Linked DNA regions of Notamacropus eugenii. The protein of the gene in region 3 purifies or fractionates together with the protein of the main gene of each other region. This does not show direct contact. Links are inferred from orthologs where the notes say so. Each region holds a gene or a part of one and is shown on either strand. Other genes may lie near its edges.

The links.
Region 1: the proteins of STK24 (region 3) and CTTNBP2 purify together in Homo sapiens (affinity purification with mass spectrometry; 3 studies listed by BioGRID and IntAct, with this or other methods). This does not show direct contact. The link is inferred for Notamacropus eugenii from reciprocal best matches to the Homo sapiens genes STK24 and CTTNBP2.
Region 2: the proteins of STK24 (region 3) and PPP2R1B purify together in Homo sapiens (affinity purification with mass spectrometry; 3 studies listed by BioGRID and IntAct, with this or other methods). This does not show direct contact. The link is inferred for Notamacropus eugenii from reciprocal best matches to the Homo sapiens genes STK24 and PPP2R1B.

The regions. Positions count from the first base shown.
Region 1 is NC_092874.1:134,967,012-134,970,759, forward strand, and holds the start of CTTNBP2 (cortactin-binding protein 2), read left to right. Parts: upstream 1-1,501; 5' UTR 1,502-1,551; coding exon 1,552-1,632; intron 1,633-3,748. UniProt on the Homo sapiens protein: Regulates the dendritic spine distribution of CTTN/cortactin in hippocampal neurons, and thus controls dendritic spinogenesis and dendritic spine maintenance.
Region 2 is NC_092876.1:142,472,117-142,475,864, reverse strand, and holds the start of PPP2R1B (serine/threonine-protein phosphatase 2A 65 kDa regulatory subunit A beta isoform), read right to left. Parts: upstream 2,832-3,748; 5' UTR 2,784-2,831; coding exon 2,670-2,783; intron 1,638-2,669; coding exon 1,547-1,637; intron 1,103-1,546; coding exon 1,002-1,102; intron 1-1,001. UniProt on the Homo sapiens protein: The PR65 subunit of protein phosphatase 2A serves as a scaffolding molecule to coordinate the assembly of the catalytic subunit and a variable regulatory B subunit.
Region 3 is NC_092877.1:228,125,465-228,129,212, reverse strand, and holds the start of STK24 (serine/threonine-protein kinase 24), read right to left. Parts: upstream 2,711-3,748; 5' UTR 2,678-2,710; coding exon 2,612-2,677; intron 1-2,611. UniProt on the Homo sapiens protein: Serine/threonine-protein kinase that acts on both serine and threonine residues and promotes apoptosis in response to stress stimuli and caspase activation.

The DNA.
Region 1 (3,748 bases), on a different chromosome or scaffold from region 3:
GATTTTCTGACTCCGAATTTAGCGCTTTTCCCACAACATCACACTTCCTCTAAAATGTTTAAGAAGTGAGGTAGACCAGTATCTTGTCCCCATGAGAGGACTCTTTGGCTAGGGCTAGAATCACCCGCATCAACAAAAAATTAACATTCATACAACACTGTAAGGTTTAGAAAGCTAATTATCGCATTTTCTATTTAACCAGCACGGACGGTCACACCCTACAATAGTATTATCCCCATTCTACACTTGGAGAAATAGAGACCAAGTAACTACAAATAATACCCTAACAGACACTAGTAAGTGTCTGAGGCAGAACCAGAAAGCTGATGCTCTTGGCATCAAATCTCTACCCAATGCATAATGACAGAAATGGGAAAGACTTTAGAGGGAATTTTTAGATGAGGAAACAGATCTAGGGAAGTACTGGTCCAAGGACACATAGTTTCAAAGTTCGGTTTGAAACACGAGTCTCTTGACTCTGAGCCCAGTGCGCTGTCGGAAGCTGTGTCTAAAGTCTAAGTGATGAAGTGGGATGGGCAGTAGAGGATGGCTGGCTAATCAATGCAGGGGGGAAGCCTCCTGGATATAAAGTCTAAGAACCATGGTTCAAATTCTTCATTTACAGCCCATGACCTTGAACGCGTCACTGCATCTCTGGGCCCTCCTTCTGGATCTGTAGCTTTAAATCACGGTACTATGAATAGGAGACCAGGAGAGAAAATTTCGGTTTAGAATTGGTGGCCCTTGGGAGGAGGGAAAGAGTCGATCCCTTTGAGAGATGGGAGGTTTGACAAGTGACTTTAGCCGAAGGGATAAAAGGAAATTTCCGAAGATGAAAACAAAGCCTTGTCTTTGGGGTAGTGCCGGGCTGGGAAGGGAAGGCGATTACTCCTGACCTCGGTCAGAGTCAGGTTTGGGAGCCCTGAGATCGAGTGTTACCGCTGCGCCGCTGTCCCGTAGGGGGTCCTGTCAGCTTCTGCCCGGTGCCTCAGACTCCCCATCTGCCTCGGGGACAGACCCACGACCTAGAGCCCGGCTTATTCCTAGTCCGTTTCCCTGCAAAGAGAAAGGAGTGAGGGTGTGCTTTGGAAAGACTTGGGCTGTCTTTCAAACTGAGGAGGCGGGTGTACGATCAAGGTCACCCCCCTCTCCAGAGACCCTTCCACCGGGATGCCTGGCGGCGTGGGTTCCTGCAGCCGGAAAGAAGGGAGGCTCGCAGCGCGAGAAAGCGGGGGTGCCCGCCTGCACAGTGCCGCGGGCCCCTCCCTGGCACCCGGGCGCCGCGCTGGGCTGGGCTCCAGCGCACAGCGGGTTAAGGCGCAGCGGGGGCGGGCAGGCAAGGGGAGGAGTGTACCGTGCTTTGCGGGCCGGGGGTGCGGAGCTGGGAGGTGCGCAGAGCGCGGCGCTCCCGACTCCTTCCTCTCCTCTGGGTTAGTCTGTGTGCCCGGCTCTCCGGCGCGCAGGGGGTTAAGCGCCTCCCGTGCAGAGCGAGGGGGCCGAGCTGGGGAGCTGCAGCTCGGTGCTCGCATTCAGATCCGCTAGAGCAGGAAGATGGCGACGGACGGGGCGAACTGCGAGCCCGACTTCTCCCGCCACCCGGAGGACCCGGCGGGAGCCCCGGCAGCGGCGGCGGTAACCGAGCTCCTGGGGCGCGCGCGTTGCAGGCGGTGGTTCGGGGTTCTGGGGCTTAAGGTGGCGGGTACCGCGATCTCCTGGGCTCTGCAACCTTTTTCCCTCCCGGGAATACCTTTCGTCCCCACGCCACACCCCTGCGACTGGAGGGGTGGGGCGGGAGGTGGCCGAGGGCTGCTCCCGACCTTCCCTCGCAGCTGGAAAGCGCCGGGTCCTTTCCTCCTGCCTTCCTCGGCGGGGACTCCCCCCGGGGCACCTCTCCGGAGCCCGCCCCTCTAGCCGCCCTCACCCTTTCCCTCAGCTTACTCTCCTCGGTCCCACCCTCTTTGCACGCCCTCCTCCTCTTCTCCCCCAACCCTTCCCAGTCACCCCAACCCCTGCTGGTTTGGCCGAGGCTGAATTGTGGTGTGTAGCAGCGAACTTGACCCCCTATTGTTTGCATCTCTGCTGAGCGCGTGTTTGTGTGAGTGTGTGTGTGTGTGTGTGTGTGTGTGTGTGTGTGTGTGTGTGTGCGCAGGGGCGAGCCTTCGAGCTGGGCGCTTGTCACTGGCCAGCGATCTCGGAGATTCGGGGAAGGGGAAGAGGATGATGTCTGGTTAGGTGTAGGACAGGTGTGCAGAAGCCTATTGTGTGTTTGAGGATGCTTGCAGATGCCAGTGGGGAAAGTCACCACAGAAATCCACGGGTGCATTGGGCTCGGGGCTGCCAGTGACCGGGCATTGGCACTGCCTTTGACTCCTTGAAACCCCTCCTCACCTCTTCCCATTCCCCCTTTTAGGGTTGTACTGACAGAAGCTGGGGGTGAAGGGGGGGAGAGAAACAGCGACCAACGGAGACTGAGACAGAGACAGGTTCAAGACGAGGTTTTGTAGTTAAATCGCCTTTCTCCCCCCCCCCCCCCCCCCCCATATGCCCCGTGGTACCTGTCCTTCTCCTCCCCCGCCTTCATCTTTGTACCTTGTGGGTGGAAATCAGAGCAGGTGACAAGCCCCTACTGTTGAATAGAGCTGAACTCCACGTAATGGGTGGAAAATGTTTTCAGTATTTAAGGAAACAGCCTGGCTGTTTAAAGCCGCGTGGAGCCTGTTTAAAAAAGAAGGGGGAGAGGGGGGCCGCAGCTCTGCCTGCCTGCCCTTGGCCCTTCTCTTACTTCAGTTATCCAGTGTGGGGTTCTGATGAAGTGAAGGACATCAGAATTTCTGTTAACTCTTCTGTCTTGTACCATACACTTCCTTCTTGATTCTTACTGCTTAAACTGAGCTACATTTCAGTCAAAAGCAGGGGACAGGGCCAAGAGTAAACAGATACAATCTTTTCAACTTTCCCTAGCTAGCCTGCTTAATGTTATTTCCCTCCCTTAGAACCTTACCACTGGTGTAGGGAGAGAAGAAGGAAGGGGTGGGTGGGGGTGAGGGTAACAGGGACCAGGGATGGAGTGCCTCCATGGCCCTAACAAGAACTGAAAGGAGAAATATACAAGAGAAGGGACGATTTAGAAGAGAGCAGTCGGAGAGCTATTGATTTCTACTTCTGCAACTGCTAGATTTGGGTTTCTAGACTTTTAGAAGAATCCCTGTATTGACGTAGGAAATTTGTTTAAAAAGGCATTAAGATTGCCAATGAAATAGTCCAATTTATGATGTGGAAAGAAAACCAGTAGCCGCATGTGAAACACAATCGAGACTGCTTTTAAGCCAGAAAGCAATTGTTTTACTGAAAATGACCAGGAATCTTCCGGTGTGATGATGGATAAGGTAAAGTAGTGAAGGTGAAGATTTTTTTGATCTCCTTGCGTACTTAGAATAGGCTTCTTTGTTATGACTCTGAGGTCTTTAATCATCTACTGAAAGTAAAGCCAAACATAAACACTTGATTATGGACTCTATCTGATTGATATATTAGTTTAGGCCATAAATTCAGATGGTGATGGTTAGGTTGATTTTTCATGATGTTGTTGCTAGTTCTTTTTTTTTATTGTTTAATAATTCACAAAATCCCAGGAGTGGCTTGTGTGTATGTATGTGTGTGAACGTACAATTAGTTTGAGGTTTAATCTTGAGACTAGCCAGAGAAAATCTTAACCTGCTTTTTATTTCCAAAGATTCCTTTAGATTAG
Region 2 (3,748 bases), on a different chromosome or scaffold from region 3:
TGGAGTGCCATTTTCTTCTCCAGCTCATTTTAAAGAAGAGAAAACCAAGGCCAACAGGATTAAATAATTTGTCCAGAGTCACACAACTAGTAAAGTGACTAAGGCTGGATTTAAACTCAGGTCCTCCTAACTCTGCTAGACCAGGCACTCTATCCACTGTGCCACCTAGCTGATCCTATGATAGTTTGCTAAACCCACTCCCTCTCCATATGGCATTTAAGAAGCAATTTGGAAAAGAATACTGTTGATATGTATATATGGAGAAACCTACACCACAATGAAAGCTCACTCATAGGCCATTGTATTCATTAGAATAAGAAAAGCATACATATTTATTAATCTTTACAACAGAGGTGTTAAAAACAAAAAATAATGAAGTTTCCCAGGGTAAATGACACACCTAGGAGAGAACTTGAAATCCCTATTTTTCAGAAACAATTAAATTCAGGTTCCCCATCTTGTGGATTTACAAATAAGTCCATAAGGACTGGTCAAAGAACAGAGAAGAGATTGGCCATGAAGGTCAATTTGCTAAGTCTATAGAACACATACTGTTTATGCTCTCAATGACTGAAATTGTGATCATCTTTGCACAACATGATAATGAATAAACTTTCACTAAAAGTACGTACAACTTTGCAGGTAGGGGGTTGGGGGAGTGGCAGCAATACATCTCCAAATAATACAGCATTTAAACCACAGAGAAGAAAGTGCATGGCATACAAAAGAAAGAGCAGGCCTTGGAACCAGAAAAGCCTGGGTACAAGGCCTGCCTCTAACACATTATGGCTATGTTCCTTAAGCAAATTATTTACCCTCTCAATGCTTTAGGCAAGTCTCTAAGACAAGAAGTTAGGATAAAACATGCTAACCCACATTGATAGAGGGGTTTTCCCTTATCTAGAAGTTCCTTTTACCAAAGAAATCAAAAGTCCAGTCCCTATCCTTATCTCTTAAAATTCAGAAAATATAGAGAGAATAGGTCACACATCACCACTCACCAGGAGACAGTGGGCAAAATCTGGACCTCCTACCAGGACAGTGAAATTTCCCAGCTGTTCAGCAAGAGCCAATAATACCTCATCTTCATCATAAATTGTATCTAAAATAGCAACAATGGGGAATTCATAAACAGAGTTAGGGGACCAACAGCTGAACACTCAAGATGAAACACAAGGGGAAACAAATTAGACATATAAATGGCAACATAGTCAAATTATAATAGTAAGAAAGCCTACTCTTCCTTCTTTCAACAGATACTACCTAGAATCTCTCCTACAGAACTGAGTTAGGAAACTGCTCAACCTCCTTTCCTGTGTCATGTAAATATTTTTTCTACTTGCTTAATATGTCCGTAATATTTCTGTCCATATTATTATATTCTGATTTGGACCAAGGCAGATGGTGTTGTCTTTCTATACCACTTTACTCACACGACTATTCAGTAATGCTGTTAGTAACGTAGCCTATGAAATGGCTAAATCAATAAACAAATGCTACAAAAACTAAAAATCCCACACTTTCTAAGAAAACAGAATTAACATACCAGTAAGAAATGGCAGCAGTTCAGTTCTTGTTCTCTCTACTCCAAGAGCTAAAGCAATTGTTGATAACTTCTTAATACTGTTGAGTCTTAGCTATCAAAAAAAAAAAAATCATATGGAGATGCAAGGGGCAAATCAGTACAAAGCAGACAAAGTGCAAATCTAAAAGAAAAGTGCTAAATGGACAAGTGATGGCAAGGAAGACAAATAAAATTTAAATTTCTAATTTAGATTTCTCAGAGAAGATGATGTAGCATGGAAGGCTTCCAGAAGTCAGGTTAACCTAACCATATAAACAAGAGAAGATTCCTCAAGTTGAGCAGTCATACTTTTTTGGGAAAATACAATAAAAATGAAAGAAAGCCTGACAAGTGAAAGAATTTTTAACAGGAAAGAGAATGCTGACAGGAGTGTGGTGGGCAAGAATAAACTGGAGGATAATTGTTGTCATTTTCCTTTTTAACCTGAAAATACACATTTCATTTCGCTTAATCATGCATCCCTCCTTCCACCCAACCGGCTTTTCCATGTGCAAACCTTGGACATATTTCAACTCTACAACTCCAAGGACCCCTGGGCATCCTGTTAATTAAACCTCGGCCCAGCATTTACTTAGCGTAGGGGGAAGAGGAGAAATTAGGGGCGCGGTGGAACTGGGACAAGACCTGAAGGGAAACCCCTGGGGGGCGGGGAGGGGGGAAGGAAGCACCCCGATCAGAAATCCCGACCCCCCCCCCCCCACTGATACTAAAGGGTTTTTTTCTTCTTAAGCTAGGGCTAACGCGGCCCAGTTTCTCCCGGGGCTGACGGGGTTTGTTTCCACAGACCAGCCCCCACGAGGCGTCAAAGAAATTGGGAAGCGTCTTCCTCGGAAGCCGCGGGCCCAGCCCGGGCTGGGCCCCGAGACTCGGAAGAACCTCTGCGGGGTCAGGGCTGAGCCCCAGCGTGTGTAGGGGTAACTCTGGGGCAGGTTCTGGTCTCCCCCGGGTTCCTGGCCGACCTGGCCCGGCCTCAGGCCGGCTGCTACCCCCCCACCCCAGTCACTGGGCCTTCCTGCCTCAGTCCTACCTCCCCCCGTCTCCCCATCGCCGGCCCGGACTCAGGTGCCCGCTTCGGCCCCACTACCTGCACATCCTCATTCCGGAGCTCGTCGATCAAAACCGCGATGGGGTACAGCGAGTCGTCTCCGTCTCCGCCCGCGGCGCCAGGACCGCTCCCGGGCCCCGCGGCACCCGCCATGTTCTTCCCCCGGCTGCTACCGCCACCGCCGCGGCCGCCTCCTGCTCAGAGCGTCGCCCCGCCCCACGCACGCACGCACGCACGCACACGCTTGCACGTCGCCCCGGGCTGCGACCCACACACGGCGTGCGCGTGCGTCGGAGCCGTTTACTGCTTTCGTGATCCTTCGGGAGCGTGAAGATGCCTCTCGACGCCCGGGCTTCGGGCCCAGAGGGGTTCGGACGAGCGCGTCTGAGCTTTACAAGGGGGTCGGAGGAGGGCCCTCGCCCGCTTGTGGTCTCACGAGGGCTGTGCCCGGCGAGGCCCGGAGGACGGAGGCCCCGCTGCCCCTTCCCTCTTGCCCAGCCAGCAGGCCAGGCCCTTCTCCGTGAGTTCTCCGCTCCTCCTCCCCTCCCCGGCACCCCAGGGAGCAGGGCCCGGCCTAGGGCCCGTCCTTCAGCAGCTCCCGTACAGCTAGCGTGCACTGCTGGAAAACAAGGAGTGACCGGAGGAGGACGGCGCAGAGCCGGCCGGACCCTGCACTCGGTATTTATTCCGGTGCCCCCGGGCAAGCCGGGAAAAGCTCGCTGCCCCCTTGGGGTTGTGTTCCTTTTCCATCTCGGGCCTGAAATTGTGCCTGCTCTACGCTTTTCTCCCCCCGGCCCTTATTCCTGAATTAAATTAAACCGACATATATAAAGACGTTCCTCTGTACCGCACGCCGCGCTGGGTGTTAAGGATACCACAACGGAAGTGAAACAATATTAAGTACCTACCGTGTGCCAGGCACGAAGTTAAACGCCGGAGGTGCAGATAAAAACTAAAAACCAGTGCCAGTGCTCCTGGAGGCCCCCATCCAAAGGAGCTGCCTTCGCGGAGCCCCTGCCTTCAGGAGCTTGTCGTCTGCGGGGGCGGGAGGGGGGACGGGGCATGACCTCTGTGTACAAGCAGCACAAGGTCAGAACTTTGGCGGAAGCATCGATTCT
Region 3 (3,748 bases):
TTTACATCCACTTCCTAGTCACTCTGAACACCACCATGATTAAGGTACTCGATACTTCTCACCTGGACTAATGGAGCAGCCTTTCAACTGTTCTGTCTCCCAGTAGGGAAATCTCCCCTCTCCAAATCCCATCTTCTGCTGTCAAAATCATCTTCAAAATTCCAAGGTCAGAATCATCCTCCCCACTCCCCTGATTCAAAGACTTTCATGTCTCCTCGTTAAACATACTCAAACTCCTTACACTAACATGCAACCTAACTCTTTAGCATTATTTAATAATGACAGCTTCCATTTATAGAGAGATTTAAGGTTTATAATGCTTTCTCTACAGTCGCTCACTGGATACTAACAAGCTTGTTAAGTAGGAAATATGACTATCACTCCACTTTACAATGAGAAAACTGAAGCTGAGAGAGGCTAAGTGATTTTTTTCATGGCTACAAAGCTCCTTAATGTCCAAGTAACACAGGTTTCTCTGCTTCCAATGTCGGGACTCTTTCCACTACCCTACACTTATTTCACATTATTGACCTTAACGCACTCTATGTTCCGGCCAAACTGGATTACTGGCTGTTCTCCAATAGCATTCTTGAATTCTACAACCTTTGTAGTTAACAAAGGGGCTGGCTTAACGGAATAGAACCTGCATCTATCCCCTATTCCTACAGTGGTTCATTTGCATATGTCTGCCTTTCTTTTCTCCCTAAGATCTAGCTCAGATGCCACTTCCTTCAAAAAAATCTTACTGATTTCCTCAGAAAGTAGCAATTACCAGAATCTTCTGACCTCTCCAATGCATTTATCACAGCCTATATAACGGTAATAAAGTACAGCTCATAGCTGTGATATAGTTTAGTATAGCTACACTTAGTTCTTTGTGTATTTGGCTCTAACCCTCAAAGAGTTTACAATCTAAAAGAAAGTTATGTCCCTTTTGCCCTATCATTGTATCCCACAGTACAATGATCACAGTAGACACTTAGTATTTTAATTGCATTTTTAAAAGAAATATTGCATAGAGATATGTTGCAAATAAATTGGAGTGTTTAGTATTGCACACTTTTCAAATTTCAGGTTTAGACCATGGGTAATTCTGGACCAAAATGAATTAATATAAGAATAACCTACTCCTCTTCCTTTTACCTATAGTTTATACCAAAACCTTACACCCAAAGTCTAGTCAGAGGATAGAGATGGGGGGGAAGAAGAGAGTCCTCATAGGTAGTATAGAGGATTGTAGACTAGCCTGGGTAATGGCAAGTTGCCAGCTACTCCTTTAATTTAACCATCTACTTCCCCAGACTATTAAAAAAAAATTAGCTCTCCTTAATGAAGCTTCTAAGGAGTTGTTGATTCAATTGGGGGAAAAAGTTGATGGTGGGAAACTAAAGGGGCCAACTATGAAGAGAAAACATTTTACTATTTTCTTCCCAAAATAGAGTAAGAAGTATCAACAAATTCTAAGGCACACAGATGATGCCTTCATATCACACTGGCAACCCTAAACTCACTAGGAACATGGCAAAATTGGGATAACTTTCCTGTCAAGACATTTTTTTCAAGTCTTTTTTTTCCAAAAGCCCAAAACAAATTTTTTCACTATACAGTTACCAAGAAAAGTATACTTGTTTGCTCTTAAGACACAAGGCAAGAAATTTTTTTTTCCACTTTAAAAAAATACTTAACCAATGTATCCCTCTTAAGCAGTTGCTGATACTGGATACCCAAATGATTCCCACAATTTTATACTGACTTAGAAGCCCCAATGTATACAAGTCTCTAAGAAGTTATTTCCTATTACAATCCACTTTGTGCAAACAAAACCCTAGTATCTAGCACTTAATACATAAATGGGCCACTTTTACCACTTATCTAATTCCTAAGTATCTGAGAAAATTGGTTCGGAGATGGTCTGGTTTCTGACACTGCCACAGAGAAACCAGTCAACACGAAATGCCTCTTGATCAATTTTATTACAAGATGCCATTCTTGTTTCACTGGTTAGGTAACATTCAATGCCACCTTTCAAAATTAAATCAAATATACAAGAGACTGATTTCTTTTTTTACTACAGAGTTTTACCAACATTTTTTAAAAGCCACTTTTAATTATTTATTTAGTTGCAACAGCATAATTACTTTATTTCATTGAATCATGAGTTTCAAAGCCCATTTCACAACATCCACTATCACCACCTTCACTTTAATATTTCTAAGAGCACATAGCTAAAACATAACTGAAAATGCAGCTGCCATCCTCAATTGCACGTACAAGTTTATAAAAATCTGAAATTCCTAAAACGAAAGCATCTCTCATGAGATGAGGCTTTTAATTTCCTTTAAAAAAAAACTTTGAAGAATGCCATTTACTCAATTCAACAAAAATTTACTGTGCACCTTAATACGCAAGGCACAGTTCTTAGAAATGGTGACAGAAGTGACAGTTATACACCTTAATGTTCTCAAAGTGTTTTTCTCACAAGTACCAAGAGAAATAAATAGCAAACATCATTTTTATTCTGATTTGACAGATAAAGAAACTGAGACCCAAAGAATTTAAATGACTTACTCAGCTATTAAGTATCAAAATTAAAGTTTAAACTCAGATTTACCATTCGCAAAATCAGGTCTCTTTCTTCTACCAAGAGGAGTTTTGTTTTGGTTTTTTTTTTTGCCATTTGGCAGTCCGGTGAAACCTAAAGAAGCCTTGTCAGAAAAATGTTTTTAAATGAAAAAAAAAAGAATCCAACAGCATAGAATTACAAAGGAAATAAATTATATTAAAATTGTTGTCAAAATATTTTTTATAACAAGTTGACATCCTCCTGACCTAAGGCCTAGGCCTTCCCATAGCAAACTCACAACGTAATAAGATTAAGTTCATTACACAAATAACCTAAAGCATAAGGGAAAAAATGTTAAGCCCCTAAGAAAGGTACAGAGTGCCATGGGGGTTGTTCTCTAGCCAGATGAAAGATTATTGACCAGAAGTCATCAAATTGCTTAGAACAGGGATGAATCCCAAAAGACTGGTCACCAAGATTATTTACGTAAACCTGTAAAGCCATGTTGGTTAATTTTAAGAAAAAATTACACCATGTACATATTACTTTGATATAGTAAAAAAACAAAGATATTTTGTGTCTATATGTGGAGAGCGGTGATGTAGATTTTATATCCTAATAATTCTGAAGCTATTTAAAATAGCATCAACTTATAAAGGTATGAGGACACTATAAAGGGCGTCCCAAAAGTCTTGGTACAGTTTGAAACTGCAGTAAGATTTTGGAAAACACTGTATGTCAAAAGGCCAAAAAAATGTTCACAACCAGACAAAAACTGCTCCAAAAAACGTACTTTTTGGTCACGATGCTGGAAAGTATCGACATAAAGTTCGGAGGGGTAGCTAAGCGATACCCCATGAAAACAGGAAGTCAAACTAAAAAAAAAAAATATGGTGTCCTGGAATCTGCTGAGGGGCGTCCGAGGCGAGGAGGGGAGGCGAGTAACATTGTATCCACGGCAGGGATCGCCTCCTGCCTCCTCTCTCCTCTCCGGGGTCTTGTGGAAGCGGATTTGTCCCAGAGGGTCCCCTTGGGCTTCCCTCCCCCCGTGGCTCCACAACAAGCTCCTCCAAGTTGGATACTGGAAAAGCTCTGCCTGCAAAGCTGGTTTTAAAAAGCACCCCCCGCCCCCCGGCACCCCGCCTTCCCGGGCTCCTGGCCCGGCCCGCCGCACCAGTCCGGACC